4 linked regions of the Tamandua tetradactyla genome follow. The protein of the gene in region 3 binds, or shares a complex with, the protein of the main gene of each other region. Links are inferred from orthologs where the notes say so. Each region holds a gene or a part of one and is shown on either strand. Other genes may lie near its edges. The genes, in order: HTATSF1, SF3B4, SF3A1 and DDX46.

Region 1 (7,063 bases), on a different chromosome or scaffold from region 3:
AAGGATTTTTCCAGAATACAGGAGGCTAGAAGGAATAAATATATTTTTTTATCATGACAATCAAACTTTTTTTCTGTTTTGTGAAAAATAACATAAATACAAAAAAGTAATAAAATTCAAAGTACACTGCCACATTAGCTGTAGAACATATTTCAGAGTTTGGTATGGGTTACAATTCCAAAATTTGAGGTTTTTACTTCTAGCTGCTCTAACATAATGGTGACTAAAAGTCATATCAATTTAATAATTCAGCAATCATATTCATTTAGAAAATCCTAACTTCTCTGTGTAACTCCACCATCAACTTTCATCTTTCTATTCCTCTCTTTAGGAGTATATTTGGGCTACGGCCCTTCTAACTTTTTCATGTTGGAAGGGGCTGGATCATGACGCTATCTTAAAAAAAACAACACTTCTTATTATTCCTTCAAAGCTACCACAAATTCTCCCAAAAATTAACTATATATACATGTACATTTTTACTTTGAAACTCATGTTTTTTTGCAAACTAGAAACACTTGCCTGAATCAGCCTTTCTTTTTTCTCCCCTCTTTTTGGGATCAGTGGGTTCAGGGGCCTTTTTTTGTGAAGGTTCCTCTGCAGTCCTAGCACTCATATCTTGTACAGTTGCAGTAGAGCTAGAGGCGCCATTATTAGAGAAGCCATAATTGGCCTGATATGTTGCAATGAAATCTTCAGTAATCTGAACAAGAGATTCAGCACATACACATAAGAAATGCAAAATTACTTCCTCCCACACAAAGTCTAAACTATATTAAATCACAGCATATTCAGTTATACAAATTAACATAGAAGTGTTTCTGTGACACTTAAAGTATAAATGCAAAATTTGTCATCTTATATAGGGAAACTGCATAAACTGAAAAAAAATAAGGCACAGGCCCTTGGATAGCAAAAACAAGCATGTGAGAAAACATTAAGATACTTTTAAGTGAAGTTAATACCTTTAATATTGTTTCATTTATAAATTAGAACATCTACTTAAACAAAGCTACAAGTACATATAATGAAGTACCAGATAACAATAGGATAAAAATCGAGAGACAACTAATAATCTAACCATAAAATCAATTTATGTTACTATAAAGATGCACAAATACATGTATATTCTAAGTATTTAAATATTTGTATGCAGAAAGCACGTAGACTGGAATCCTGATTCAATGAATAGAAATAAAACTAACAATTGCAAAACTATATGCTCACTTTAACTCTATCACTAATTAAATCACATTATCATTTAGCGGCAGAATAAATTAAGGACAAACCCAACTCACATCTATGTACCGTGCCTTTAGGGGATATAAAAACACAATGAAAGAATTGTACTTGTATCTTCATACCAGTCAATGTTAGGCACACAAAGGAATAGGGAAAATTTAAACTCAAAGTTTGAAAAGATACAGGCTTTCATAGCATAAAATACCAAAGATAGAGTTACAAATTAATTCATTATCAGATTACTGTTAAAAGTACTACTCAGAGCAGTGCAACAGTGGCTCAGTGGCAGAATTCTTGCCTGCCATGCCAGAGACCCGGGTTCGATTCCCGGTACCTGCCTACGCATTTAAAAAAAAGTACTTCTCAGAAGGCTGAAAAAACCACATCTGCACTCCAGCCAGCACTATCAGTATAGAAGTGAAAAAGTAATTTAACAGTTGGTAAAAATCGGTACATATACACAAATACAAAATGGAAAAGAAAAAAAATTTAAATAAATTTTATTAAATAAGTCAAATTACACAATGGAGACATGTTTTTTATTATTGGCTTGCCAGAGTGCTATTTCTATTTTTTTTTTCCTACCCATGAGACTCAGGTTAACATAGTACTTTCACCGCCATGCTTACAGAATCAAGCTGAAGACTAGTATTTTTCTTCCAAGCTTAAATAAAACACCTAATAATTTCCAAGTATTCCAAACACATATAGACAGATCTTTGCCATCCATATTCTGTGCATCTCTTGTCACAGTTCTGCAGTTACATGCATCAGAGAGTCCAAACCTAGGGGCCAAATTTAGTAGAAAAGAGCGGTGCAGACAGTCCAATCAATAAAGATACATAAACGGCTATCTTTTTCCTTAAATCAAGAATTGCATTTTGCGCATGGTACATAAACTAAAAATGTGAATTCCCAGGATAAGTGAGGGTAGCAACGAGAGATGAACAGCTACTGTATCTGTTCTTGGTATTTTTCCTCTTTGCAATAAAAAGCAGTCACGGATGTAGTAACCAACTGTGACCTCCACCGATAAAATTAGTAAGGCAGAGAAGAGATTTAATTACATTTAAGACATTTCCCTAAAGATTACGTTCCTCTACACATCGGTTCTGCAATAGACAACAACAAAACGAAACGTCACTATCCACGGGGGCTAAAACCAAAGTTCTCACTCAGTAAAGAAAATGTAAAAGAAGTGCCCCGTAAGGCTGGCCAGGCGGGCCCACTCTGCAGTGGCGCCGGTGCCACTTTATTACCTTGGGGAACCAAGCCTTCTTGTCCAAATCCCACTCGTAGGGGGTGTCGGCCGGCTGCTGCTCGCAAGCCTCAGTTTCTTCGCCAGGATCTTCTTGGTTACTGCCGTCCTTGCTGTCCCCGTACAATTCTTGCATTCGCAACTGCTCATCAAACTCGTCGTTCCCATCCAAGTTGTTGCCGCTCATGTTTCCTACCTAGCCCAGCGGCAGGGTCCAAGCGAGTGAAGAGGCCGCGAAGCGAGATGACGCTGGAGGCTAGTAGAGAAAGAGAGGTCCGCCCCGGTGGCCCGCGCACGGCCGCCCCACCCCGCCCCCGGCGCCCAGCAGCCCCCGGGAGACGGGTGCCCCCTAGGTGGCCGCGCCGCCCCCAGCTCTGCCCGGCCTCCAGCCCGCGCGCGCTGATGCTCCCAGCTCGGTCACGCCGCCGCCCACCTGGTTCACTCCGCCGGGCCTCGGCGCCGCGGCTCTGTCCAGGGCGCGGCGGAAGCGCGCGCGCGCCACCGCCGCCGCCGCTGCCGCCACGGAGCGGGTCTGAGGCGACCGCGGCTCCCGCGGCAACGTCAGGAAATTGCTTCAAAACGGGGCCCCGCTCAGCCTGACGCAGTCGCCATTGTGGGCGCGTCGCGACGTCGCGGTTCGCGCCGACACGCCCCCAGGCGGCGTCCACATGCGCCGACGCGCAGGCGTGCGGGCACGGCGTGGGGTCTTGGGCGCGGGGGGGCGGGGCGCCAGGGAGTGCGCTGCGCCCGCGCGTGGACGCCCACTGGGCCCGCCTCTGGGCCGGGGGTGGCCGCGCGGCTCCCGCAAGACCTCGGAATCTCAGCCGGCTGCCGGGTGGGTCGGCTCGCGTGGTTCCCAGAAGGCGTGGGAATATTCCTCCTAGGCGGGCGCCATCTTGGAGAAGTGGGCGGGGCGGGCAGGACCGGCTACTTTCGCAGTGGGAAAAAATCGTAACCCTTTCGCCCAGAGGCCTTTCCCTCCCACCTAGTCGTGTCTTTTATTTATTTATTATTTCCCCAGCCTAGGCGCCTGCTCTTGTCATCTTGGTATTCCAGGCGCCTAGCGCCAGGGTATTGGTGCCTAATCCATGTCGAGTGAGTGAATGAACGAATGAACGATGGGTGGAAGGACCAACCTCCTTTCCACTTCTCAGTCACCTCCTTTATCTGATCTTACCTTTTTCCTGCTGGAGATAAACTCTGGGAAACTGAGGCGGGGCTGCAGTTGCTTGTATCTTGTTCTCCAGGATTCAGGAGTGCTCAGGGCCAAAACATGAAACTTGAACGAACATCCAAGCGTCAGTATCAGCTTTAGTAGCCAACTGTAATTTTGGCTTTCTTTTAGAAAGACGCAGTACGCTTTGCTCTAAACAACCTTTTTTCCCCCTGAAAATGGTGAGCCCATCTTAAGTGGTGCAAATACGAATTTTTAATTGGGCAAATAGTTACTGAACTCGTACGAGGCGCCAGGCACCTGACTCGCCCCTGGGGACCCAGGGGTTAACAGGACGGGCACTGCTTAGGGAAGACAGGCTTATGTTGGTTGGTAAATGTTATCTTGAAAGTACCAGACGCTGGAGAACAGCGTTTCTCAAAATTTTCATCTCAGAACCCCTTTACACTAAAAAACTATTGAGGACCCCAGAGAGATTTTGTTTATGTGGATTGTATTTGTCAATGTTTGCTGAAAACATTTTTTAAATATCTATTGATTCATTTAAAAATAATAATAAACCCATTGTGTGTAAGCATAAATATAACCCAGACTTGAGGGTGAGGAAAGTCTTCCCAGAAGAAATTATTTCTAGTATTCCACTGACCTTTGCTTCTAAACATAACAGCTGAGTGTGGATTCTAGAAAATCCTGCATCCCTGCATATAACAGTCGTGTGAATCTATGGTTTCAACCATAGCAAAGTTTTAAACTAGCAGTTTGATTTTTTCAATTATATTTCTTTTTCATAAAATTCCTGTTTGCATACATTTTTATTATATAGATAACACGAGGTTTGTTAGACTCATTTAAACATTGCTAAATATTTCTTCCTGGATTCAAAAATAGTATACAGCTGTTTTCAGCAATGTGTTATTGGGCTCCCATTTCATTCCTGAGTTTAATGGTAGGTGCTGATATTGTGCATAGCTCTACTGCACGTGAAGCTCTGAGTGCGTGCTGTGCCCACAGCCCCGTTCTCAGCAGGTAGCCAAAAAGGTTCCATATGCCTAGTTCCCATGTAACCCAGCTGCCATAGCCCAAGGGCTGGCTAGGGGCCTGTGAGTTCATCTAGCTGGGTAGCTCTGCATTCTAGGCTATATTTGACTGAGCCAATACGGTTCTCTCTCAGGGAGTTTGAGCATGAAACATACGGAGAGGGATGTTGTCAGGGTAGCACAGAAGCTGAGATACCCACAGGGAAGGCTGAAATGAGTACAGGAGGCCTGCTGTTCAGAATTTCCCCTAGAAGTGAGAGGAAAAGTCAAAGCAACAACAGAGGGTCACTGAGACCCCATAGTAACAGGGCAGTGGGGTTGGGAACTAAGTACACTTGTACCTGCAATGACGTTCTGTATGGCAATGAGAACTGACAGTTGCATTTCTAACGTTAGCATTTTGTGGCGTGGTTCCTGTTTGTTCTTATTTCCCTGTGTATTGTAGAATAACTCCCTAGTAAGTGATGTAATCTGTCTTTGCAACCTTTCTTTCTCAACATTTTTCTCCAAGTCTGAGAAGTATTCAAGGTTAACAAGCAAAAGGCGAGGTGGGGAGGGGGGCGGCTGAGAGGGGAGCTGAAACTCAAAGACTGGAATGTAGATTGGCCTCTTCAAGGGGCTACTGGACCCAGGAAGAGGAACAAATTGAAACCCAGACAGTCTGCTTTTCTCTGAATATCTGCTTTCTTCTTTTTTCTCTAAGTTTTCAAGGGTGATTTGTGTGGTACTCCAGTCCTGTAGGCTACAGCCTTCTTGGTGGATAAAAAAATGCATTAATCTACAAAAGCAGAGACGGCTGGTTGAAAAAATCACCTATCTGGCCTAGGAACTGTCTCTGGGAAATTACTGAACTTACCAAACTAGACTTTTTTTTTTAGTGGTGCTGTTAAGCCCATTCTGTTCAGGAATTTTTCTGTCCCCACTTCCTGTAATCCCAAAATTTAGTGGAAATGAAAGTAACTCCTTCTGAAACAAAAAATTTGGAGGACCCTTGACCTAAAATGGTTAAAACTGCACAAAGTATTTAAACCTAAATTTGCTATTCTCAGCATGTATGTCAGTGGTAAATGTTTTGCAATGCTTTCAAGTTCAATGTTAGGGACTGGCTCACTGAACGAATTGATTATACCTAACTTTGTGACCTTGTTTTCATGCTTTGTAGTGTATTATTATGTTCCATTATTCAAAGCCTTGGGTCAGGGAAGACCTTGAGCAAAACTGAGAAGCACATTAAATTTGTTTCTCATGAAGCCCACGTCTTCTCCATTTAGGACCTTCTCCAGGGAAATGGTGCCACAATAGGCAATGTAAAAGAAATTTTGTAGATTGGAGCCTGTTTGCAAGGTTAGCCCTGACAAGGATAATCTGTTAAAAACAAGAACAACAACAAAAACCCAACCAACCCCATTCCCCCAAAATCGACAAAACAAAACCATGAATTTTAAATGCGACCCCCCAACTTTGGATGGGAAGCTGATGCCCTATAAAATCACTTAGGGAATTATTTTAAATCAGATCCCTAAGTCACTTAGGGAACACTGAGAATGAAGAAAGTTCTTTGAGCTCCATTTTTATCAGCTGCTAAAAGGTTGTCTTGGCTTTTGTAATCTGGTATTATCAAGCTTTTATTTCTAAAATGTCACACCTAGGGGAATGAAGATGTACACTTTTACTCTGAGTGAGGAAAATAATGAATATATTTTTGCATACTGTGACTCGAATATAATTTGAATTTTGAAACTAAAATGGGTGGTCAGTTATATTCTTTCAGAAGTATTGTTTTTAGAATAGAAAGTTACAGAAAGTCATTCAAAACTTTATTTCATATTTATTTTGTCCCTCTCCCCCCACTTATTACAGTGTCCATTTTGAAACAATAATAATACAATATAGGCACCTCCACTTTAAGTAAACCAGTTTTACAGAAATTTAAAGTCTAGTGTTAATATATATCCCCCTTTTGAGCCACAGGATTAACGAAAGTTCACAGTTACACAAGCCATTTAAAACGCAAAACTACCAAAAGCACGCCCAACAATCAAGTTTTTAAAAATACAGTATTAACAATTATACCAAGTGTATGCTTTAATTTGCCCCAACAAAACACTTTCTGAAAGTAACACAAATCTAAGTCTGACATGTCTGTTGACAATAGTTGTTTGAAATAATCATTAAGAAGCTTATAGTGTTAGCAAGTAGGAGCTAAGGATAGAAAATCAGAACCTTCCATCTGATTTCCAAGGGCAGATTAGGCCATACTCCTACGGGACTTAGGCACACATTGGGTTAATAGAGTTGAGCAGGAAGATGATATGATAACGACTGCACACCTAGGTATTAGGTATTTCATGT
Region 2 (7,013 bases), on a different chromosome or scaffold from region 3:
AGAAGGCTCCCTTGTCTCCTTCTAGTGTAAGCTTTCTCCTTTGGAGTTACTGTGAAGTACCTATGAGTTCTCTCACCCTTCAGTGCTACCTCCACCCTCCCACTATAGCTGTGTTCCCTAACACTAGGATTCCTGGCCCCTCCGCTCCCTCCTTTTATCAGTGGATGGTTAGGGTGGGAAGGGCAATGTGGAAGTTAAAGAACTGTGATTCTGCTTCCAGCTTGTGAAGCTGGATTTTTCTAATGGGGTGGAGTCTATGAAGTGAGTTATTCAAGGTCTTTATTTTCATTTTCTTTTCACTTCTTCTATGTGCCCTCTCAATCCTGCTTACCCACAACTTTTCACCTCTGTGCCTCTCATTTCTCCTTGCCATGTTTCCTCTTCTCATTCTCTCCTGCCCTAGTTTCTTGGTCCTGCTTCTTTGCCCCTTCTCCCTTTTTTATCACCCAGAGCGCGGTGATCGTGATTTCAATGGCCTCCTCTCTTCACTCGTCCAGCTGCTTTCAGTCCCTGAAGCTCGAACACTGCTTGGCTTCCAATCACTAGTGCAACGAGAATGGGTGGCAGCTGGACACCCCTTCCTGACACGGCTTGGGAAAACTGGGGCCAGTGAGGAGGTGAGGATTTGGGGGGGGGGGTTCATTTGGGGGTACTATTAAAGAAGTAAGGGGATGAGAAAATTATAATCCATTGGAGGAAAATCAGATCACAAAGGTTCTAAGATTAAGCTCAGGCAGGAGGGAGACCCAGATGACTGAGGCTCCACAATCCCCTACTACCCTCAATTCCGATTTCCATTCCCTGACCTTCTTAGTGCCCCTTGTTCCCTGTGTCCTCATCCTCCATCATTTTGCGATCTTGCCTCTTTAGGTCCGATTATTCCTTCCACACTCTCAATTTCTCTCTTCTCAGGCCCCAGTGTTTCTCCTCTTCCTTGATTGTGTCTGGCAGCTCCTCCAGCAGTTCCCAGCTGAGTTTGAATTCTCTGAGTTTTTCCTTCTTGCTCTTCATGACAGTGTCAGGGTTCCTGACACCCTGACTTTCCTGAGAGATACTCCCTGGGAACGTGGAAAGCAGGGTGGACAGGTAAGTGACTGACATTTTTGACTTGTCATTTTTTTACCCCATTGAGAATTACTCTCTGAAGTTGAGCCTTAGTTATTTTATAACAAGAGAAGTGAGGTCTGTCGGTGGGGAAGGGGAGGGTGATGTTCACTTAACAGACTGGATTTATGCCCTGCATCTGATTCCTGGCATAAGAGTTGGGTTTCATGATTTCTCTCTAGATTTGGGAGAGTTATATATTTTTTTGCTTAATCATCCTTTTCTTTTTTTTTTTTTTTTCAAACTTCCCCTGTCCAGTTCAACTCCTATACACAAGTCTACACCCCAGGATACTCCCAGCCCCCAGCTGGGAACTCTATTAACTCACAGCTGTCTGTCTGGGACTGGGATTTACGCTACAGCAATAAACAAATACTGCAATTCCAAAATCCTTGCTATGACCCAGAGTACCACCCAGATTCCTGGCTCCCCAGGCAGCAGGTGAGTCATCTAAATTTCCTGAATTCCTTTGACTTTCCCAGACTCATCCTAATAGGTAAGGAAGTGAGAAGATTCACTGAGTTCCCCTGAGGAAGTTATCCCACTCCTCCTCTACAGCTGTCATTTATGGCCCCTGACTGTTCCCAGGAAGACATAAACTCTAAAATATCATAGAGGACAGCCTTATTATCTTTGTCCTCATCTTTGATTTAATCTTCCTCTTATCCACAAATTTTACAAGTTTCTCTAAAAATCAACTTCAGTCATCTCTGAGGCCTAGTTTGAAGCTTAATGAGGAGAGTAAATAGAGTTCTCAGGGGACGATTTGTAGTTTCAATCGCTAGTGCAGTGAGAGGGGCAGCTCAACACCTCTTCCTGACTCAGTTTGGGGAAACTGAGTCAGGAAGGGGCCATAGAAACTGAACCTATAGAAACTGGATCATTTGGTTTCTAGGTTACCAATTGTTTTCCCTTTCCCCTGTAGTCAAGTTTCATGGTTCCTGGACCTCCAAGTTCTGTATGGCTTTTCTCTAGAGGGGCCCTGACACCCCTGAATCAGCTCTGTCCTTGGCGGGACAGTCCTTTCCTGCTGGCAGTCTCTTCTCGTTGGCTCCCTCGACCTGCTATCTCTTCTGAAAGCCTAGCAGACCAGGAGTGGGGTCTCCCCTCACATTGGGGGGCTTGCCCTTTGCCCCCTGGGCTGCTGCGCCCTGGATATCTGGGACCCCAGATCAGGCTATGGAGACGCTGCTACCTGAGGGGACGGCCTGAGATCCAGGTGAGAAAAGAAGATAGCAATTGGGAGTGGGAGAAAGGGCTTGACTACGGGACTAGATGAACAGGAGCTGGAAAGGCAAAGAGCTGGGGTGGAGTGGAAAGTGAAGTACCGTTCCTGCTGGTATCAAACTGGGCAGGTCTGGGAGTGTAGGGTGTGGGAACACTGCTGTGGCTTAGATAAAATAGAGCCTTAGGGCTCTGTTGGCAGAGAAAAGAGAATTAAAGATAGCAGAAGCGGACAGGTCTTAGAAACAGAGTGTGTAGAGCTGCAATATTTCTCTCTGTCCCTTTGCCCTCTCCCCAGGTTGGCCTCTCAGCCCCCACAGTCTGTGGCCTCCAGGATGAGCTATCTCATCTTCAGGAGCTATTAAAAAAGTGGACACCAAGAATATCTCCTGAGGATCACTCCAAGAAAAAAGAACCAAATTCCATTCTCACCCAATCCCATTGAAATTGCTGACTCTCTCACAGGTAGGACACAGCGAGGTCCAGGATGAGGGAAGGGTTCTGCCTAATCCCTCAGTTTGTCTTATCTGATTTTGGGCTTCAGTTTCCACACTCCAGCCCTTTAAAAAGCCAGTAGTGTCAAGTTTTTATTGCAGGTGGGTGGTGCTAGCCTTCTCCAACTCTTATTCTGCCCTGTTTGATTCCTAAAGACTTAGTTTTTATTTCTTGTCATTTGAGAAACTGAAAAGTAAAAACAAAAACTATCAAAGCAATACAGAAGGTGATTTCTGTTTTCAAGGCCAGTCTACCCCTCTGGGATAGCCAGCCCTTAAACTGACAGATCAGAGATGCTACTCAGTCCCAACAAGATGGCCTAGAGATCTCATTGCTACCCCCTCTTGCTTCCTCTTTAATTCCAATTACTATTTCTTTTTTTTTTTTTTTTTACAGTTTTCCATGGGAATGGGAGATACCCTGCCACCTCGAACTGTTTATATTTGTAGTGACATTTCTATTTAGGGAATTCATTAAAGCACCGTATTTATACACATTGCTGGAATTGTTTTGTTTGAACAGGTAGCAAACAGTGGTGGGTGGAGGGTGGGTGTGACTCGGGGGAGGAAGGGACTCACCATATTATCGCTAAGGAAAAAGAGAACCGGATCAGGTGAGGCTCTGCAGAATTCCTATGCTACTGAGGAAAATGGTTTTCTTCTCCGTGCCTTAGGGGCAGGTGGAGCTAGAGCCTGGAACTAATAAAGATGCTGTTACTGGGGCCCGGGCTTCGTCACGCCCCATCACTGAGCCTCAGGTTGGCCAAGAACGACACTCCCACCTCAGAATTTTGCAGTCCCCTCCTCTGAGGGAAAACGAAATACTTCAAGCCCAAGCCGGGACTGTGCGAAGGTTGCCTTCGCGTCCTTGGGTTGGTGGGGGTTCCGCAACACACCCTCTTCTGGGGAACGGATCTGGCCCCAACATATATGAAAAGGCTTGTTTCTTTAGATTTCGTATTTACATTTTCAGGGAACAGTTTAACCCTTTAACGCCTGGCACAACCTCAACTGGGTCTGGACATCCCGGTTTTGGTCATCCGGGAACCGACGCTCGCAGCGCCTCGCAGCGGCACCTGGCGCACGACAGAGAACACGAGCGAGACCACAACTCTCAGCGGCTCCTAAGATGGCCGCGGCCGCTTCCGGCCCCTCCGCTGTGGCCCCGCCCGCCGCCTCGCATCACGTCCGCCTCCGCCCCGGAAGTGGAAGTGGTGGGGGTCAAAGGGCGGGGCCAGTGTTTGGAGACAGCAGGAGCGCCTTCGCCATGGCGGCCGGGCCTATTTCTGAGCGGAACCAGGGTGACTGGAGGGGACGATCCCGAAATGGAGCGAGCGGGGCTGGATAGCCCCGACGTGGGCCAGCAGGGGTTCCGCCGGGGCGGATGATTTGTTACCCCCGGAGGGCGCGGGGCCGAACGCCAGGCCTGCTGGGGGGCGGGGGGTCGGCCGGGTGCCGCTTGGGGCCGGTAGGCACGAAGCCTTGTATGTCCGTCTATTCCGCTGCTGACTTTGTTTGCATCTAAGAAACAGCACACGTACACGTAGAATTTTCAGCAGAACACAAGTTTGATTTCAGAAGATTCTCTCAGTCCTGGGAAGAAGAAGGTTTAAGGTTTAATCTAACTCTAACATGATTTTTCTTTTTCCTTCTGTTGCCTTTTTGCTCCTATCCCCCAACCCCATTCCCAATCCCTCTGCCTTGATTCTATCGCATGTTCCTGTCACCCCATTTCCTGTCATTCTCACGCCCCCACCCTAATCTCCAGATGCCACTGTGTACGTGGGGGGCCTGGATGAGAAGGTTAGCGAACCGCTGCTATGGGAGCTGTTTCTCCAGGCAGGGCCAGTGGTCAACACCCATATGCCAAAGGATAGAGTCACTGGCCAGCACCAAGGTGAGTTACAAGGAAAAAGATGCTGGGAACAGACCGCCCCTGGCAACACTATAAACACTGTTTTGGGATGAACAGCCTGAAGATTCCTTTTCCTTTTTGTTCCTGGAAGCTTTTCATTGAAGTGAGATTTTTATTTTCTTTTTTGTTCTTTGTGCCTTGGGGTGGGGTGAGTTACATCTCATTTTGAATCTCTTCTCTTCAGTAGTTAACCTCTCTTCTTTTAAACTCCTCAGGCTATGGCTTTGTGGAATTCTTGAGTGAGGAAGATGCTGACTATGCTATTAAGATCATGAACATGATCAAACTCTATGGAAAGCCAATACGGGTCAACAAGGCATCAGCTCACAATAAAAACCTGGATGTAGGAGCCAACATTTTCATTGGGAACCTGGACCCAGAGATTGATGAGAAGCTCCTTTATGATACGTTCAGCGCCTTTGGGGTTATCTTGCAAACCCCCAAGATCATGAGGGACCCTGATACAGGCAACTCCAAGGGTTATGCCTTTATTAATTTTGCTTCATTTGATGCTTCGGATGCTGCAATTGAGGCCATGAATGGGCAGTACCTCTGTAACCGCCCTATCACTGTGTCCTATGCTTTCAAGAAGGACTCTAAGGGTGAACGCCATGGCTCAGCAGCTGAACGACTTCTGGCAGCCCAGAACCCACTATCCCAGGCTGACCGCCCTCACCAGCTGTTTGCAGATGCACCCCCTCCACCCTCTGCCCCCAATCCTGTGGTATCATCATTGGGGTCTGGGCTTCCTCCACCAGGTAAAGTTTTTTTTGTTTTTAAATTAGGAATAATTGTAGGTTTATAAAATAATCAAGCATTAAATACAGGATTCCCATAAAATTCCCCTATTATTAACACCATGCCTTGGTATGGTACATTTGTTACAATTGATGAAAGCTCATTTTTATAATTGTATTATTTACTAAAATCTGTAGTTTGACTTAGGGTTCACTGTGTTGGGCAATTCACTAGGTAAAGTTTTTCATTGAAAATATGTTTGGTGAGGTGTGGGGCACAAGGGAAAAGAATTGGAGAAAGGGAGACGGTGAGTCAGTGGGTGATTAGAAGGGAATTGGGGGTGATGGGTGTGGTGAGGAATTTCTTTACAACTTTCATTGCTGGATTCCTCTAGAAGGTTGAAGTTGTTTGAATCTAATGCTCCGTCTGACTTTAGAGAGCTGGGTAGAGAGGAAAAGCAGTAAATGTGCCTAGAGAGGCCAGCTTAGGGCATTCTCTCCCTACTACCATTTTTACCCTACTACCATTAACTCTTTTTTTTTTTTCCATTTCCTTTACAGGCATGCCTCCTCCTGGCTCCTTCCCACCCCCAGTACCACCTCCTGGAGCCCTTCCACCCGGAATACCGCCAGCCATGCCCCCACCACCTATGCCTCCTGGAGCTGGAGGACATGGCCCTCCATCAGCAGGAACCCCAGGGGCTGGGCATCCTGGCCATGGACACTCACATCCCCACCCATTCCCGCCAGGTGGGATGCCCCATCCAGGTAGGTATTCTCTGCTGGGAAAGGGAGGGATGATCTTGGCAGAGGTGTGCTATTTCTCTGTCACCACTCTTGTAACTGCCCTCTGTCCCTCAGAGCACTCCTTGTCTTTTATTTTATAAAAACATCACTCCTTGTCTTTTATTTTATAAAAACTTCATTCTGTTTGCCTTAACAACTACCATCCTAAAATTACCAAATCTTGGCGACTTTTCTGCTCCTTATCTGACTTGACCTCTGCTGTATTTGAAATTGGCCATGTCCTCCTGTTTGAAATTCTTGTCACTTTTGACTTCTGTTTTTCTGGATTTTCTATCTGTCTGTCTGACTCCTCAATCTCAGCCACTTTAAATAGGCTCCTTTTTCTTTGCATGTACCTAGGTTTTTATCCTTGGTTTTCTTTTTCTCCACATTTCCATAGTTTCGATTACTTACTCACCGATGCCTCCTAGATCTTCATCTGTATTCCATGGTTGTTGACACACTGCAGCCCCTGATCTTCTTGCTGCTTCCTGAACAGCTCTACTCTTCTATCCCTTGGGCTCCTCCACCCAAACATGATGAAAACTGAGCTTATTTTCTCCACCTCCCCTTCAAACCTACTCTTCCTCTAGCATGATTTGTTTTCAGATGTTTAATTCAGAAACCTGGGAGTCATGTTTGCCTATTTCCTATCACTCTGCTCTTAATATCAAGTCTTGTTAATATCTCTGGCATCTACCCCCACTGCCAGTAATCTAGTCCAGGCCCTCATTATTTCATACCAGCTTACCA
Region 3 (6,896 bases):
TTGGAGTGCCAGCTTCCTTTCTCCAATGCAGAAACCGGACTGAAGCAGCTGTTTAGTTCCTGGGAATGGAGAGTGAGAGGGCAGTCAGGGAGGGCTTCCTGGGGGCCAGGAGCAGGCTGTCCAGAAGGTGAAGGGGAGGGTGTTCCAGGCTAGAAGAATGGGGTGATGGGAGACCCTTGTCTTGAGGCTGAGCACAGAGGACATGCTTCAGCCAGGTGAGCTTTGACTGAAGGGCCTACTCCGTGCCAATCCCTGAATGCTTACAACAAGCAAAAGAAGGCGGGGTTATTGGCTCCTTCACAAATGAGGAGGCTGAGGCCCCAGGAAGTTATGGGGCTAGCCCAAGGTCACTCAGGAAGCTGGGATTCTGAGTCCAGTATCTCTGTTCTTAGTCCATGCAGCTTCTAGAGCAGCACTATCGAAAGAAATATAATGTGAGCTATGGGTGAACTTTTTTAAAACATTTTTTACTATGAAACATAACAAATATACAGAAAAGTAATAAACTTCTAAGTACAAGTTATAGAACAAATTTCAAGTGGTTCCAGTTCCACAATTTCAAGTATTTCCTTCTGGCTGTTCTAATACACTAGAAACTACAAAGAAATCTCTATATAATGATTTAGTAATCACAATCCTTTGTTAAATCTCAATTCTCTGTTATTAACTCCTCCCTCTCATTTGATCATTCCCCTGATTTTCAGGGATATTTTGGCAAAGATCATTCTAACTTCTTCATGTTGAAAAGGGATGTCGAACCTTATGGGGTAGGGGATGCAAATGGTTGATATTCCGGGAGAGGCTGGTACCTCTAGGTTTCAGGCACAGGAACAATTGGGAGGTTTTATGTTTCTGAAAAATAAATTTAATAAGTAAAACTTTTATAGAGTCATAGATAGAATCTTGGGTTTTCTTTACGGTTTTCAGGAATACTCTTGGTTGGGTCTTGGGACACCATGGAAATTTATAACATCTGGCTGAAGCTTGTATAAGAGTAACCTCCAGAACGACTTCTCAACTCTATTTAAAATCTCTTATATAGGCGGGGTTTTAAATTTTCTACTAGCCACATTAAAAAAATAAAAAGAAAACAGGTAAGTTAATTTTGATGGTGCATTCTAGTTAACTTAATAACCAATAAAGCATTATCATTTCAACATGAAATCAATAAAAAATTATTAAGGAGATAATTCACATTCTTTTTTTGTACTGTCTCACTGACAGCATATCTCAATTCAAGCCAGCAACCATTTCAAATTTCCCATAGCCACACAGGTCAGCAGCTAACATATTGGACACTGCAAGTGTATATGAGATTCATATTCATTCAGCAAGCATTGCCTGAGTACCTACTACATGCTGGAAACTAGGGATGAAGCAGGTACATGGAGCTTTGGCCTCAAAGAGATACCATCTCTGTCTGAGGGTCCTGCTGTAGCAAGTCTTGGGTCTATGAGCTCCATAGGCTCCATCACCAAGGAAGGGAAATGCATATCCACCCCATAGCACACATGAACATACTCTCCTATAGCACCGGCCTACACCCCACACACAGTGGTACTGGAGTGCTGACTTGGCGACAGCCTCTTGTGAGATACTGTTGCCCATAAGATTTCATGTCCCCCAAGGAGTGAAGTATAAGGAACAAACAGGAAAGAAAGAAAAAAAAAACAGACTGAAACGTTCTATGTTTCCTTCCTGGGATGTAGGAGGAAAGAGATAAATGAAGCAAGCAGAAGGTCCCAATCTAGATGGAGGCGTATTCAGGTGCCAAGCACCTGGACTCATGGAGCTTCCTCATGGAAGACACCATTTTGTTCCACCTTCAAATAACTTCAGCTGCCATCCGGGGCCAATTGCAATACCAACTTCCATTAGATTTCAGTTCAGAGAAGCAGCATCAGTAGATGCAAAGCATCAAGAAGAATATACAAGAGGAAAATCTAACATTGAAAAATATACAAGGTAATTATATGGTTTCTTCTGAAAACTGGGGCTATGCAAATATAAGACTGGTTTGAGAATCACTTAGGTGTGTGTCAAGTGAGGGAGCATTTGACACGGTCTTTCTCTCTACCTGGGCCTGGAGTATAACTTTCAGCCCCAAACTGCCAACCATGCACTGTCCATGTGATGGCACAGAGGATGGACGCTTATGGAGTCAGCACTGCCACTAGGTAGGCAGAGCAGCTGACTCTGTCTCTCCTCGGGTTCAAGGTTGGCTTTTGCCTACCAGAGAACAGTAGGAGCTGTTCCCTCTTAGCCTACCCCCAGTGGTAAAGATTATGCCTCCCTCCTGGTCCAGTAGGCACACTAAGATTCAAGATCACCACCTTGAAAACACTTTGGATATGGACAGATGAGTAAAAAATATATATAAATAACATGGGGTGGATAATGGGTAAAAAAAAAATTGAGTAGATTGAAATCTCAGTGGTCGATGAAAGGGAGGAGTAAAGCTTATGGGATGTATGAGTTTTTTCTTTTTATTTCTTCTTCTGGAGTGATGCAAATGTTCTAAAAATTATGGTGATGAGTAACAATACGTGATGATATTGTGATCCACTGATTGTATACTTTGGATGAACTGTGCATGTGTGAAGACATCTCAATAAAAATATTTTTAAAAATGCAACTAATTGTTGAGGTATGCTTTGAAATGTATTGCTTTTTTGTATTATGTCATTTTGCAAAATAAAAAAAATTAAAAAAATAAACCTTGGAAACCCAAAAACCATCTAAATGGCAGTTAATCCATCTCAGACCCAGGGATTCTAATTGCCTGGATCCCTGGAGACACGGAAAGGAACTTGTGATGAAAACTGAATAGCTAACTGCACTACCAGAAGGGCCTGGGTTTGGAGCTCCATTCTGCCAACTCTGAACTTCACTGACCTCATCTGTGAACAGGTTGCTCTGAAGAATAAATGATACAATGCACGGAGTGTTTCCAACAGGTTCTGGCTCAGGGTAAATGCTCAATAAGTCCTAACTACCGTTATCATTCTACATCGACGACACAAGCCGAGTGTGTGTGTGTGTGTGTGTGTGTGTGTGTGTGTGTGTGTGCGCGCGCGCGCGCGCGCGTTCAAGAGGAAGCAGGTGTGGGAGAGCACCGCTTTCTATCAATAGGTGGAAAAAGTGAAGCTCAAGCACTGGCTTGGCAACCCCTCCCCACGCTCTGGAGCTAGGAGGGAGGGGAAAGGGGACAGGGATGAGGGCACTTGAGAAGGAAGCCGGGAGGGCGGGATTTGAGTGTGCCACAAGGGAGTGAGGGGCGGGGTATGCAGGGACGCACCAGTAGTTGTGATGGGGGCGGGGGGGGGGTGTCTAACGCAACCAAGAGACGGTCCAGTGGGGCCTGAGGGTGGGGCTATGGAAGGAAGAGGATTGAACCCAGAAAAGACAGGCCCGTGGGAATTAAGGGTGTGGGGGACTTGGAATAGGGTTGGGAGGAGCTGGAGGAGACGGACTTGAAGCGAATGAGGTGGTTAAGGGAAATGGGACTCTGAGAAGTGCCTGAGCGTAAGGGAGGGGACTCTCCAAAGTGAGAGGTCAATGGGAAGGGGCCTTGGGAGGCGGGGTCTAGGGAGAAGGAAACTGGCCTGAGACTAAAGGAGGGGGACCAGGGCCCCGGGGTGAGTGCCGGGGACATCCAGCGGGGTGCTGTAGAATATCTCACCCCTCTCGGAAGTCGCAGCCTCAGCCTGTGTCTGGCCGGCTCATGGAACTGCCCCCGGCGCGCCTGCGGCTTCCCTGGATGCGCAGCAACCCCTAGCCTGGCACCCGGACTGCTGCCATGGCAACGGCGTAGCGCGCGAGCTCGGCCCGAGGGGATGGGACCGGAACCTGGTGGGCGTGTCAGGAAGTGCGTCAGCCTTGCCTCCTCGGAGACGACCTGCTCGGCCGCCGCCATCTTGCTAGCTCGTCGTCCCGTCCGTGCGGGGATTCTGTTTTGACGCCACACTGTTCATCGACATCGAGGCGGACTGGCAGCCCTCAGCGTCGCAGTCATGCCGGCCGGACCCGTGCAGGCGGTGCCTCCTCCGCCGCCCGTGGCCGCCGAGCCCAAACAGGTACCGCGCCCCCCGCACCTCGATCGACAACCCGAGCCTAGGCCTGGACCCTCCCCTCCAGCGCGGGTTCTCCTCACTCATGCAGGAAGAAGCTGCCGCTGTGGAGGGCTTGGAGGGACTGCAAGTCCCAGGAGGCAGCGCGCTTCCTGCGCCGCGCTGCCTTCTGGTAGCGAAGAGGCCTCTTCTGAACGGTCATTGTCAAAGTGTGGCCCGCGGACTATCGGCCTCATCACCTGGGAGCTTGTTAGAAATGCCGAATCTCCGGCCCCTCCCCAGACCTTCTGAATAAGAATCTGTATTTTAACTAGGTTCCAAGGTGATTCATATGCACATTAAAGTTTGAGAAACACTGACCCAACCCCTGTCCCGGTTTTCTGCCCCTAGCTTTGCCCAGTAATTTCTGAGTTTCCAGCCTGCATAGTCCACATTTGAGTGTTAATTCTCAGCATCTCCTTGGTGTTTATTCTAAGCCAGCCGTCATGCCAACCTCCAAAGTTGCTGGAATGAAAGAAGCACAACCGCTGCCTTAGAAAACTCACCGACTAATGGAGGCAGACAGGCATGAATACTCAACAGATATTTGTCCCCATCTCGAAAATGATACGGTTCAGGCCGAACTTTAAAAGGCTCTCGATCAGCTGAGGGGGAAAGTTGTGTGTAAATAATTGTAGCGTGGAGTGATATACTGGGTAATGGAAGTATGTGGCCGGTATGAGAAGGTTATTTAATCGACATTGCTTTGATGGGGAGGTTAAAGTAGTGAAAGTTCATAGGAGTGTGAAATAAGTTGCTTTTAGAAGGATACATAAGAATTCACTGTGTAGATGATTGGGAAAGGGAAATACAATTTTTCATTCATTCAGCAAACAGTTGTTGCACACGTACTATATGCTGACCACTGCTTTCAGTTCAGAATACAACTGAAACACAACAGAAGAAGTCTATGCCTTTGGCATAAATAATTAAGTGCCTCTATGTCCCAGGCATTTTCCCAGGCACTGGGAAAGAATAAACAAGATAATATCTGATAACGATAAGCACAGAGGCACTTTGGAAGTGAGGTAGGAAGCAGATGATGCCTCTGGTCAAGAGTAAATCTAAGTTTTGTTGGAGCATAGGATGGGAAAGAGGAAGGTGGTGGTAGGAGATGGTATTCAGAGGATTTGACCTTTTTTCTTGTAGACAAGGGGTGAATAGGAAGGGTTTTAAGCAGGATAGTGACAAATTTGTGTTTTAGAAATTCAGATATTGGTGTGGAGAATTGCTAAGATGACAGAAGACAGTCCTTTTTTTTTAACTGCTGAAGACTTGGCTTAGATTTTGAGGAAGGGGGACGGGCAATCCCTTGTCACAGAGTACTCTTTCCAAATTCTGGCTCTGCCATTTGGGCCAATTAAGCTTTCCATGCCTCAGTTTGGTCACCTGTAAATGGGAAGTATAAGAACGCCTCCCTCATAGGCTGCTTATAAAGGTTACAAGAGTTAATGTATTTAAAATACTTAAGCATTGGGGACCTATTTTTGTGCCTAATAAATGTTAGCCGTTGTTATCCTTAGGGATTAGATGAGGAGGCTGACAAAGGGAGAGAAAGCCCAAGTGTCTGGCCAGGCCATTCAAAAGGAAAGGGTCCAGTGATGAAAGTGCTTAGGAGTCAGTTGGATTGAAAGCTCTGTGGCATGTAACTGCGATCTGGGCTAGGAGATTGCTTTGGGGGGATTGTTCAGCCTAGGTGTGATAGGGGAAATAGAAGATGTGGTTTGCTGACGACAGCAGGAATTCCATGAAGAGAACCAAGAACAAAATTTGGAGTCTTCAAAATTTAGAGGGCGGGAGGTGAAACAGGAGCCAGGAAGGAAACTTGGATAGGATGGGTGTTCTAGTTTGCAAGCTGCTGGAATGTGATATACCAGAAACAGAACGGCTTTTTAAAAGGGGAATTTATTAAGCTGCTAGTTTACAGTTCTAAGGCTGTGGAAATGTCAGATTAAGGCAAGGCTATGAAGATGTCCAGATTAAGGCACCAACAAGAGGTTACCTTCACTCAAAGAAGGCTGATGAAGTTCGGGGTTTCTATCTCAGCTGGAAGGACACGTGGCAAAGTCAGTTAGCTTTCTTTTCCTGCTTCATGTTTCAAGAAACTCTCCCGGGGGGTGTTTTCCTTTTTCACTGCCAAAGGTTTCTGGCTGCGTGGGCTCTGTGGCTCTTACACTTTTTCCAAAATGGTTCCCTCTTAAAAGGATCCGGTAAACAACCCTGAATAAGTGGTGACACAACTCCATGGAAACCATCTAATCAAAAGTTACCACCCACAATTGGGTGGGTCACATCTCCATGGATAATCAAAAAGCCCACCCAGTGATACTGAATGAGAATTAAAGGACCTGGCTTTTCTGGGGTACACAAAAAATTCAAACCAGCACAGATGGTCAGAAAGTAAAAAGGAAAGATGGGAAAAAATGGGGTCTGGGAGTTGAGTGGAGAGCTTTGCAAAGGAGTGATCACTGGTCAAATGCCCAGATAACTGTTATTTTTGGTTGAAGGCAGTTGTTTTTGACTTTGGTAAGAGCATGTGAAATGGATGGGGACCAAATGGGAGGTCAGGAAGTAGGAATGGCAAGACTGAGAGAACTCAGGATGTTTAGCTACCAGAGGAAGGGCAGGGGAAAGCTAGTAGCAGAAATGAACACAAAGGGAGGGGAGAAACTTATTTTTCTAAGATGAGGGACTTGACCCTTTATTTACGAAAAGGAAGCTAGTTGGGAAAGTATTAGGAATTTTTGGGTCACTTAATATGGATATTCCAATAGAGTCTCAACATTT
Region 4 (7,565 bases), on a different chromosome or scaffold from region 3:
CACCAAGATATCTGGCTGGAGCAACTGCAAAGATAAAGATACCATTTATTAACATGGGAAGACTGAGGGAGGTGCAGACTTGAGGGTAAGTGGGTGGGAAATCAAGATTTAGGTATCCAAATGGTGATGTAGAGTAGGTACTTGAAATAGGAGTCTGGAATTCAGAGAAGAGGTTTGGGCCAGAGAAATGAATTGGGAAATAATCATCAGTGTACATCAGTATATTTAAAGCTATAAGCCTGGATAAGAACACAAGGGAAAGAATACACCTGATTATCCCTCAAGCACATCAAATTTAATGTATAGAAACCCAAATCATTTATCATCCCAACTTCCAATCACATAGGCTCAAAACATTATCTTCAATATTTTTCTCTTCTTTCATTCTATACAACCAATGAAACTCTAAGTATAACTAATTTCACCTCCACAATTTCTTGCATCTTATTTCTAGTCCACTGCCGTTAGTCCTTATCAGGAGGCTAATCTACTTAGAATATTTTAAATGACTCCTGGTTTTTCTGTTCTGTTCTCTTTTCCCTTAAATCTGTCTTACTCATTGCTGCTAAAGCAGATTCTGTTAAACACACACACATATCACATATACACATTTCTTACTGAAAATCTTCAAAGGCTCCCAAGCAGTCTTAGATTCTAAACTAAACCTACAATCCAAACCCATCTTCCACAGTCTGGGCCCAAATTCCATTCAGAACCTATCTCCTCCTACTTCTCTTGAATCTTCATGCAACCTACATATATAGAGAGAAACTGGGCTCCTTAAATATTTCTCTAACATCCTGCTCTTTCCCACTCTGAGCCTTCCATTATTCCCTGAAACACACCTATAGAGCAGAGGCCATGCAAGGCAGAGGTAGGGAAAAAGGCCAAAGGGCTAGAAGGGATGTTCCTGTGAAGGACCCTTCAAGAACTACTAAAGAGTTTGGACTTCATTCTGGAAGTAGTGGAAACTAACAGAGATTTTTAAGCAGGGGAACAGCATAATCTTATCTTCATTTTAGAAATGTCACTCTGGTTGCAGTGTGAAGGTTCTATAACTCAGGAGATCAAGATCAGAGGAAGAGGAACACAAAAATTAAACAGAATTTTCATGATCCAGCAATTTCACTCCTAGGTATACAACCAAAAGAAGTGAAAACAGATACTCAAACAAAAGGTGGAAAGAGCTCAAATGTCTACCAACAGACAAATGGACAAATTGTGGAATATACATACAATGTAAATATATACATGGATTGAAGAAATGAAGTACTGACACATACTATGACATGAATGAATCTCCAAAACATTATGCTAAATAAAAGATGCCAAAGAGTCATATATGGTATAATTCCATTCATAGGAAATATCCAGAGTAGGTAAATCCATAAAGACAAAACACTGATTGGTGGTTGCTAGGGGTAGGGGTAGGAGAGAATGGGGAGAAACTACTTAATGAATATGGGGTTTTATTTTGAAGTGATAGAAATACTTTGAAACTAGACAGATGCAGTAGCTACACAATACTGTGAACGTAACAATTGCCACTGAACTGTTAATATTAAAGTGGTTAATTTTATCTTACATGAATCTCACTTCAAAAAATTTTTAAAAAGGAAAATATTTTTACAGCCGTTAAAAAAAAAATCAAAGATAATCAATTCAGGGAAAAAAAAAATTTGAGGCAGGTGCAATGGTCCTGATTAAGGCCTGAATTAAATCACAGTTAGGAGGAATGCAGAACGGGTGCAGAATCAACTGGACCTATGCAGTGAGAGAGAAGGTTGAGTCAAATAAGTATCACTTCCACGTTTCAGGACTGAGTGGCCAGATGACTGCTAATACCTTCACTAAGATTTAAAAGACCGTCAAGGGATTTTCTGTCATTATGGAAATACTCGTTATTTCTATCAGGTGATGGTTATATGGTTTAAATGCTACTAAATTTCAACAAACTATACTCTTTAGCTTTGTACATTTCCCTGAATGTTGATTATACCTCAATAATCTACTGTTAGCATGGAAAAATAAGCCCTCACAGTCCCTAGATATAAAGGTTCCTTCAGTCACTAATACATACACAGCAATCACCTAAAAATAAAAACTTCAAGGTTCCGAACCAGTTATCAGCAATATAAAGTTTTTAAATGGTCTCATGGCTTTAATAAGATCTCCCAATCCATAGTTTCAAAAGGATAGAAAGGAAGTAACAAAAAAAAAAAAATCTATTTGCAAAATAAATGACCGCGCAATAAATATTTATCGTAGCCCAATAAAAGCCTAGTCACATACAGAGCGTTGTAGGTGATGTAAAAATATCTGTCCACAGGCTCGTTTCAACTGACATAGGAGAACACTACACCCGCTCACAGAACTAAAATACCGAGCGATGACACCAACTAAATGTTGCAAACGGGAGGCGAAAAGAAATTCTACTGGGATCACCACAGTCTGAAGGGATCAAAGTCGGCTGCGTGGAAGTGGCGGGATGTGGAGGCCAATCACTGATGTCCCGGGAGGGTTGTTCCGGTTCCCGAGGCTCGAATCACCCGACCGTAAGGCAGGGAAGATGTGGGATCGCGGCGGCCCAAGAACAACCATTCCCTCAACCCAGGAGCCTCCAGCCCTATCAGCCCTTCCATTAGCCGCAGGACCGCGCTGGCCGCACGTGGGGAGCCGGCCCGGCCCGGCCCCGCCGCGACCTCAACTCCCGCCTCTTCCCCAAACCAAATAGAAGCCGCGGTCCGGCTCGGCGCGCTATCTCACCGTGACTCCCGGCCCATGCTGCCGCTCGCAGGAAAGCCGGCGCCCTTCGGGACGGCGCGCAGGAAAACGGGACACACTGGAAAATTGTGCTGCCCTAGGGACGCGGGCAAGCACCAACACTAAGGAATGGCAGCAGCCACAGCGGCAGCGTCCATTCCAGCGCGGCCAAAGAAGACAGGAAGAGTCGGCGCCGAGGGCAGAAGGAAGGGAAAAGCGACCGGAAGCTGCTGCCTCTCCACAGCGCCACTGTCGTCAGGAGGCCGAGTAGCAGCCGCGCCCCTAAAGAAAATGGCTTCGCCGGCTTCTCGCTGCGCTCTGGTAGAAGCCTGGGGCTGGTTCGAAGATGCATTGCTGCGCCTCCGCGTGGCAGGATGTGGAAGGGTTTTTCCTCCATTTCCGCCATAAAGCCGCCAATTGCTGTACCAGGACCTGCACAGACATACATCTTACTCTGCACTAAATAACGCTACCAAACGTCTCCATTCACTTTCCCCATTTGTTTATATATTCATTCATTTATTTACAAGCAGTTACATGCCAGGCATGTGCTAGATGCTTGGGGAGATTACAGTCTAGTGTAGGCAACAAAAGACACATTACTGAAAACAGTCAGATATAATACCGCAAGCAGAGGCCCGCCAGAAGACAAGGCTTCAGGGAAAAAATAAAGTTCTCTGAGGAAGTGATCACTGACGTGAGGTTTGAAGACGAAGAGTTACATTTGTGGAGAAAAGAAAGAACTAAAACTACACCAGCAGAGTTGTAAAAGTTCTCAAAATGGCTGCACTGGGAACCTTTTTTAAATTTTTGTGGATACCTGGGTTCTATCCTGATATTCTGATTTAATTAGTCTGGAGTGCTTCTTGAGCAATGGGAATTTCTAGGCTTCACGAGTCTTCTAAAGTACAGCCAAGGTTGAGAACTGGCGTAGTAGAACACATCAAGTCGTTGACAGCTGTTTTGCAGAAAACCGTAATGGAGTTGGGGAGAGGCTGTCACTTTTACTTTACATGCCTCTGCACTATTTTACTCTCTTACACCTAAGGGTGATAGGAACATTCTGTATCTTGATTGTGGTAGAAGTTGCACAAAAGTATACATTTGTCAAAATCCACTGAACTCTTGAAAGGGGTTAAAACAGGAAGTTTTATGTTGTATGTTATCACAATATTTTCTTTATTCATTAAACTGTAGTCTTTAAATTGGCACATTTTATTTATGTAAATTTTACTTCTGTAAAGTTGATTAAAAAAAAAAAATGAAACAAGTGGGACTCCAAAACTACCTACCCACTATTTCCCTAAGGCATACTGTTCACCTCTGACAGCAGGCAGTAGCGTTGAAAAGAGGTGGAGACTTGAGTAAAGAAGTCTGGAACTAATGTGTGACAGGATGGACACTAAAGAGGGTCAGGTATCCAAGGCACTGTAAATTGAAAACAATTGACAATTGCTTGACTGTGGGATGAAGTTAAGAAGGATGGATTGCATTCCAAGAGAAATAGGAAGCCAATAGTGGTTTAAACAGTGGAGACAGTAAAAAAGTCAGATTTGAATATGTTACAGAGGAAACCCTCAAAACAAGCTGATAAATTTGCTGTGAGCTGTGAGGGAAGACAGGGAAAAAAAATAACTCCCAGATTTTGAGCCAAGCTATTGTGGATTGCAATAATGTTATGGAGATGAAACGGATTTGAGTTTCATCATGGGAGCGGATTTGAAGGAGTAAAGAAACAAAATTGGTGATTCTGTTTCAGTCATATGATGTTTGAGATGCCTATTAGATATCCAGAAAGAAATAATGGCTAGTTAAGGGAATATATGAATCTGGAGCTCTAGGGAGAAATAGAGGTTAGAGCGATTAAGAGTCATCAGCATTTTATAGGATATATAATATGTAATGCTTGGAGCTATGGAACTGGATGGGACCATGCAGGGTAAATGGGAAATAAGGTCTTTAACTTTTGAATTTGACACAATTTAAATATTGTTTAGAATATTGCATAGAACCACAGAATTAATGGTCCAACTGGAAAGCTCATTATTTTAAAAGTGAAAATACTGGAGTCTTCCGGGTCAAGATGGCGGCTTAACAATGTGCGCGTTTTAGTTCGTCCTCCAGAACAACTACTAAATAACCAGAAACAGTACAGAACAGTTCCCGGAGCCACGATAGTAACCGGACACACAGTGTACCCCAGTCTGGACCAGCTGGACCAGCCGTGAGCACCCTCCAGAACCGTGAGGTCCCAAACCTGCGGCGGCCAGCGCCCTTCCCACACAGGCCGCTTCCCAGAGGGGAAAGGAAAGGACTTTACCAGCAGCAGGGACTGGGCACAATCAAACACCAATTGTGGAACTAATTAACAAATTTTGACTCCTAAAAATAGGCCCCCAGCTTCGGTGAACCTGATCAAAGCAGAGGTTGCTCATTTTTGCCCCAGCGTCAAGGGGGCAGGACTGACAGAAAAGGGGGGAAAAAAGAAGGAAACAGAGGTTTTTGTGACTGTGTATCTACAAAGGCTTGACTGCCTCTGGATACAGTGGCAGGACTTTTCAGGCTGCAACTGCTTTGGGGGGCATATCTGGAGCCTATGCCTTCCCCAGGGGAGGGGTGAAGCCCAACTCAGGTGGAATACCTCCATCAAGGAATTCAGACACCAGGGCTTGGTAATTTGAAGTCATTAAAACCAGCCTACAACCTCTCCTGTGTCTCCACCATGCCCCCAGCAGGGAGAGTCTGCCAAAGTTAAAGGCACCGCATCATCTTATGCTGGTGGGATCTGCAGTCAGACAAGCGCCACACACAGGGCAGGATAAGAAAAACACAGTTCAGAGACTTCACAGGAAAGTCTTTCAACCTGCTGGGTCTCACCCTCAGGGAAAACCGATGCAGGTGACTCTTTCCTCCTGATAGGAGGCCAGTTTGGTCTGGGAAAATCTGGCTGGGGTCTATAATATCTAAGTAGACCCTCCTAAGCGTGTGTGGGGGAAAGGCACCACACAAGCAGGGCAAGAAACAAGAAAACAAGAACTGAAAAATTCTCCTCTGTTAAACAAAACTTGAGCTAGAGGTCCAGATAAAGCTGAACAGAATGTCAAGGAACAGATAGACAAGAAATTCATTCAGTAAGAAAACCCTAGATAAAAGATGTGAAAGCAATCTCCAGAATAAACTAATTAAGGTAGTTAAATGCCTAGACACCAGCAAAAAATAACAAATCACATTAGGATAATTGAAGATATGGCCCAGTCAAAGGAACAAACCAACAATTCAAATGACATACAGGAGCTGAAACAACCAATTCAGAATGTATGAACAGACATGGAAAACCTCATCAAAAACCAAATCAATGAATTGAGGGAGGATATAAAGAAGGCAAGGAAAGAACAAAAAGAAGAAACTGAAAGTCTGAAAAAACAAATCACATAACTTATGGGAATGAAAGACACAGTAAAAGAGATGAAAAAAAAACTATGGAAACCTACAATGGTAGATTTCGAGAGACAGAACATAGGATTTCAAAACTGGAGGACGGAACATCTGAAATCCGACAAGAAACAGAAACTATAGGAAAAAAATTGGAAAAATATGAGCAGGGACTCAGGGAATTGAAAGACAATATGAAGCGCACTAATATACGTGTTGTGGGTGTCCCAGAAGGAGAAGAGAAGGGAAAAGGAGGAGAAAAACTAATGGAGGAAATTATTACTGAAAATTTCCCAACTCTTATGAAAGACTTAAAATTACAGATCCAAGAAGTGCGGCGTACCCCAAACAGAATAGATCCAAATAGACATACTCCAAGACATTTAATAATCAGAATGTCAGAGGTCAAAGAGAAAGAGAGGATCTTGCAAGCAGCAAGAGAAAAGCAATCCATCACATACAAGGGAAGCCCAATAAGACTATGCGCACATCTCTCAGCAGAAACCATGGAGACGAGAAGACAGTGGGATAATATATTTAAATTATTAAAAGAAAAAAACTGCCAACCAAGAATTCTATATCCAGCAAAATTGTCCTTCAAAAATGAGGGAGAAATTAAAACATTTTCAGACAAAAAATCACTGAGAGAATCTGTGACCAAGAGACCAGCTCTGCAAGAAATCCTAAAGGGAACACTAGAGACAGATACGAAGACACAAGAGAGAGGTGTGCAGAAGAGTGTAGAAAGGAAGACTATGATTAAAGGTAAAAAGAAGGAAACTTAGATATGACATATAAAATCCAGAAGGCAAAATAGTAGAAGAAAGTACTACCCATGCAGTAATAACACTGAATGTTAATGGATTAAACTCCCCAATCAAAAGACATAGTCTGGCAGAATGGATTAAAAAACAGGACCCATCTACACGCTGTCTCTACTCAAAGGACACAAGGCCAAGGACACAAATGGACATTTACACACCAATGTTTATAGCAGCATTATTAACAATTACCAAGAGATGGAAACAGCCAAAATGTCCATCAACAGACAGTTGACTAAACAAACTGTGATATTTACATAAGATGGAATATTATGCAGCTGTAAGACAGAATAAAGTTATGAAGTATGTAACAACATGAATGGACCTAAAGGACATTATGCTGAATGTGATTAGCAAGAAATAAAAGGACAAATACTGTATGGACTCACTGATATGAACTGACATTAGTGAATAAATTTGGAATATTTCCTTGGTAACAGAGACCATCAGGAGATAGAAATAGGGTGAGATATTGGGTAATTGGAGCTGAAGGGATACAGATTGTGCAACAGGACTGAATATAAAAACTCAGAAATGGACAGCACAATA

The links.
Region 1: SF3A1 (region 3) and HTATSF1 share a complex: the UniProt entries of both Homo sapiens proteins name them as parts of the 17S U2 SnRNP complex. The link is inferred for Tamandua tetradactyla from reciprocal best matches to the Homo sapiens genes SF3A1 and HTATSF1.
Region 2: SF3A1 (region 3) and SF3B4 share a complex: the UniProt entries of both Homo sapiens proteins name them as parts of the 17S U2 SnRNP complex. The link is inferred for Tamandua tetradactyla from reciprocal best matches to the Homo sapiens genes SF3A1 and SF3B4.
Region 4: SF3A1 (region 3) and DDX46 share a complex: the UniProt entries of both Homo sapiens proteins name them as parts of the 17S U2 SnRNP complex. The link is inferred for Tamandua tetradactyla from reciprocal best matches to the Homo sapiens genes SF3A1 and DDX46.

The regions. Positions count from the first base shown.
Region 1 is NC_135353.1:22,881,501-22,888,563, forward strand, and holds the start of HTATSF1 (17S U2 SnRNP complex component HTATSF1), read right to left. Parts: upstream 3,005-7,063; 5' UTR 2,934-3,004; intron 2,757-2,933; 5' UTR 2,688-2,756; coding exon 2,502-2,687; intron 704-2,501; coding exon 523-703; intron 1-522. UniProt on the Homo sapiens protein: Component of the 17S U2 SnRNP complex of the spliceosome, a large ribonucleoprotein complex that removes introns from transcribed pre-mRNAs.
Region 2 is NC_135330.1:5,899,499-5,906,511, forward strand, and holds the start of SF3B4 (splicing factor 3B subunit 4), read left to right. Parts: upstream 1-3,999; 5' UTR 4,000-4,089; coding exon 4,090-4,123; intron 4,124-4,132; exon of another isoform or gene 4,133-4,436; intron 4,437-4,590; coding exon 4,591-4,719; intron 4,720-4,952; coding exon 4,953-5,495; intron 5,496-6,035; coding exon 6,036-6,242; intron 6,243-7,013. Other genes in the region: MTMR11 (myotubularin-related protein 11), read left to right, coding at 451-617, 913-1,086, 1,363-1,545, 2,030-2,323, 2,627-2,773. UniProt on the Homo sapiens protein: Component of the 17S U2 SnRNP complex of the spliceosome, a large ribonucleoprotein complex that removes introns from transcribed pre-mRNAs.
Region 3 is NC_135331.1:32,556,060-32,562,955, forward strand, and holds the start of SF3A1 (splicing factor 3A subunit 1), read left to right. Parts: upstream 1-3,872; 5' UTR 3,873-4,013; coding exon 4,014-4,076; exon of another isoform or gene 4,077-4,168; intron 4,169-6,896. UniProt on the Homo sapiens protein: Component of the 17S U2 SnRNP complex of the spliceosome, a large ribonucleoprotein complex that removes introns from transcribed pre-mRNAs.
Region 4 is NC_135346.1:13,854,027-13,861,591, reverse strand, and holds the start of DDX46 (putative ATP-dependent RNA helicase DDX46), read right to left. Parts: upstream 3,010-7,565; 5' UTR 2,784-3,009; coding exon 2,767-2,783; intron 1-2,766. UniProt on the Homo sapiens protein: Component of the 17S U2 SnRNP complex of the spliceosome, a large ribonucleoprotein complex that removes introns from transcribed pre-mRNAs.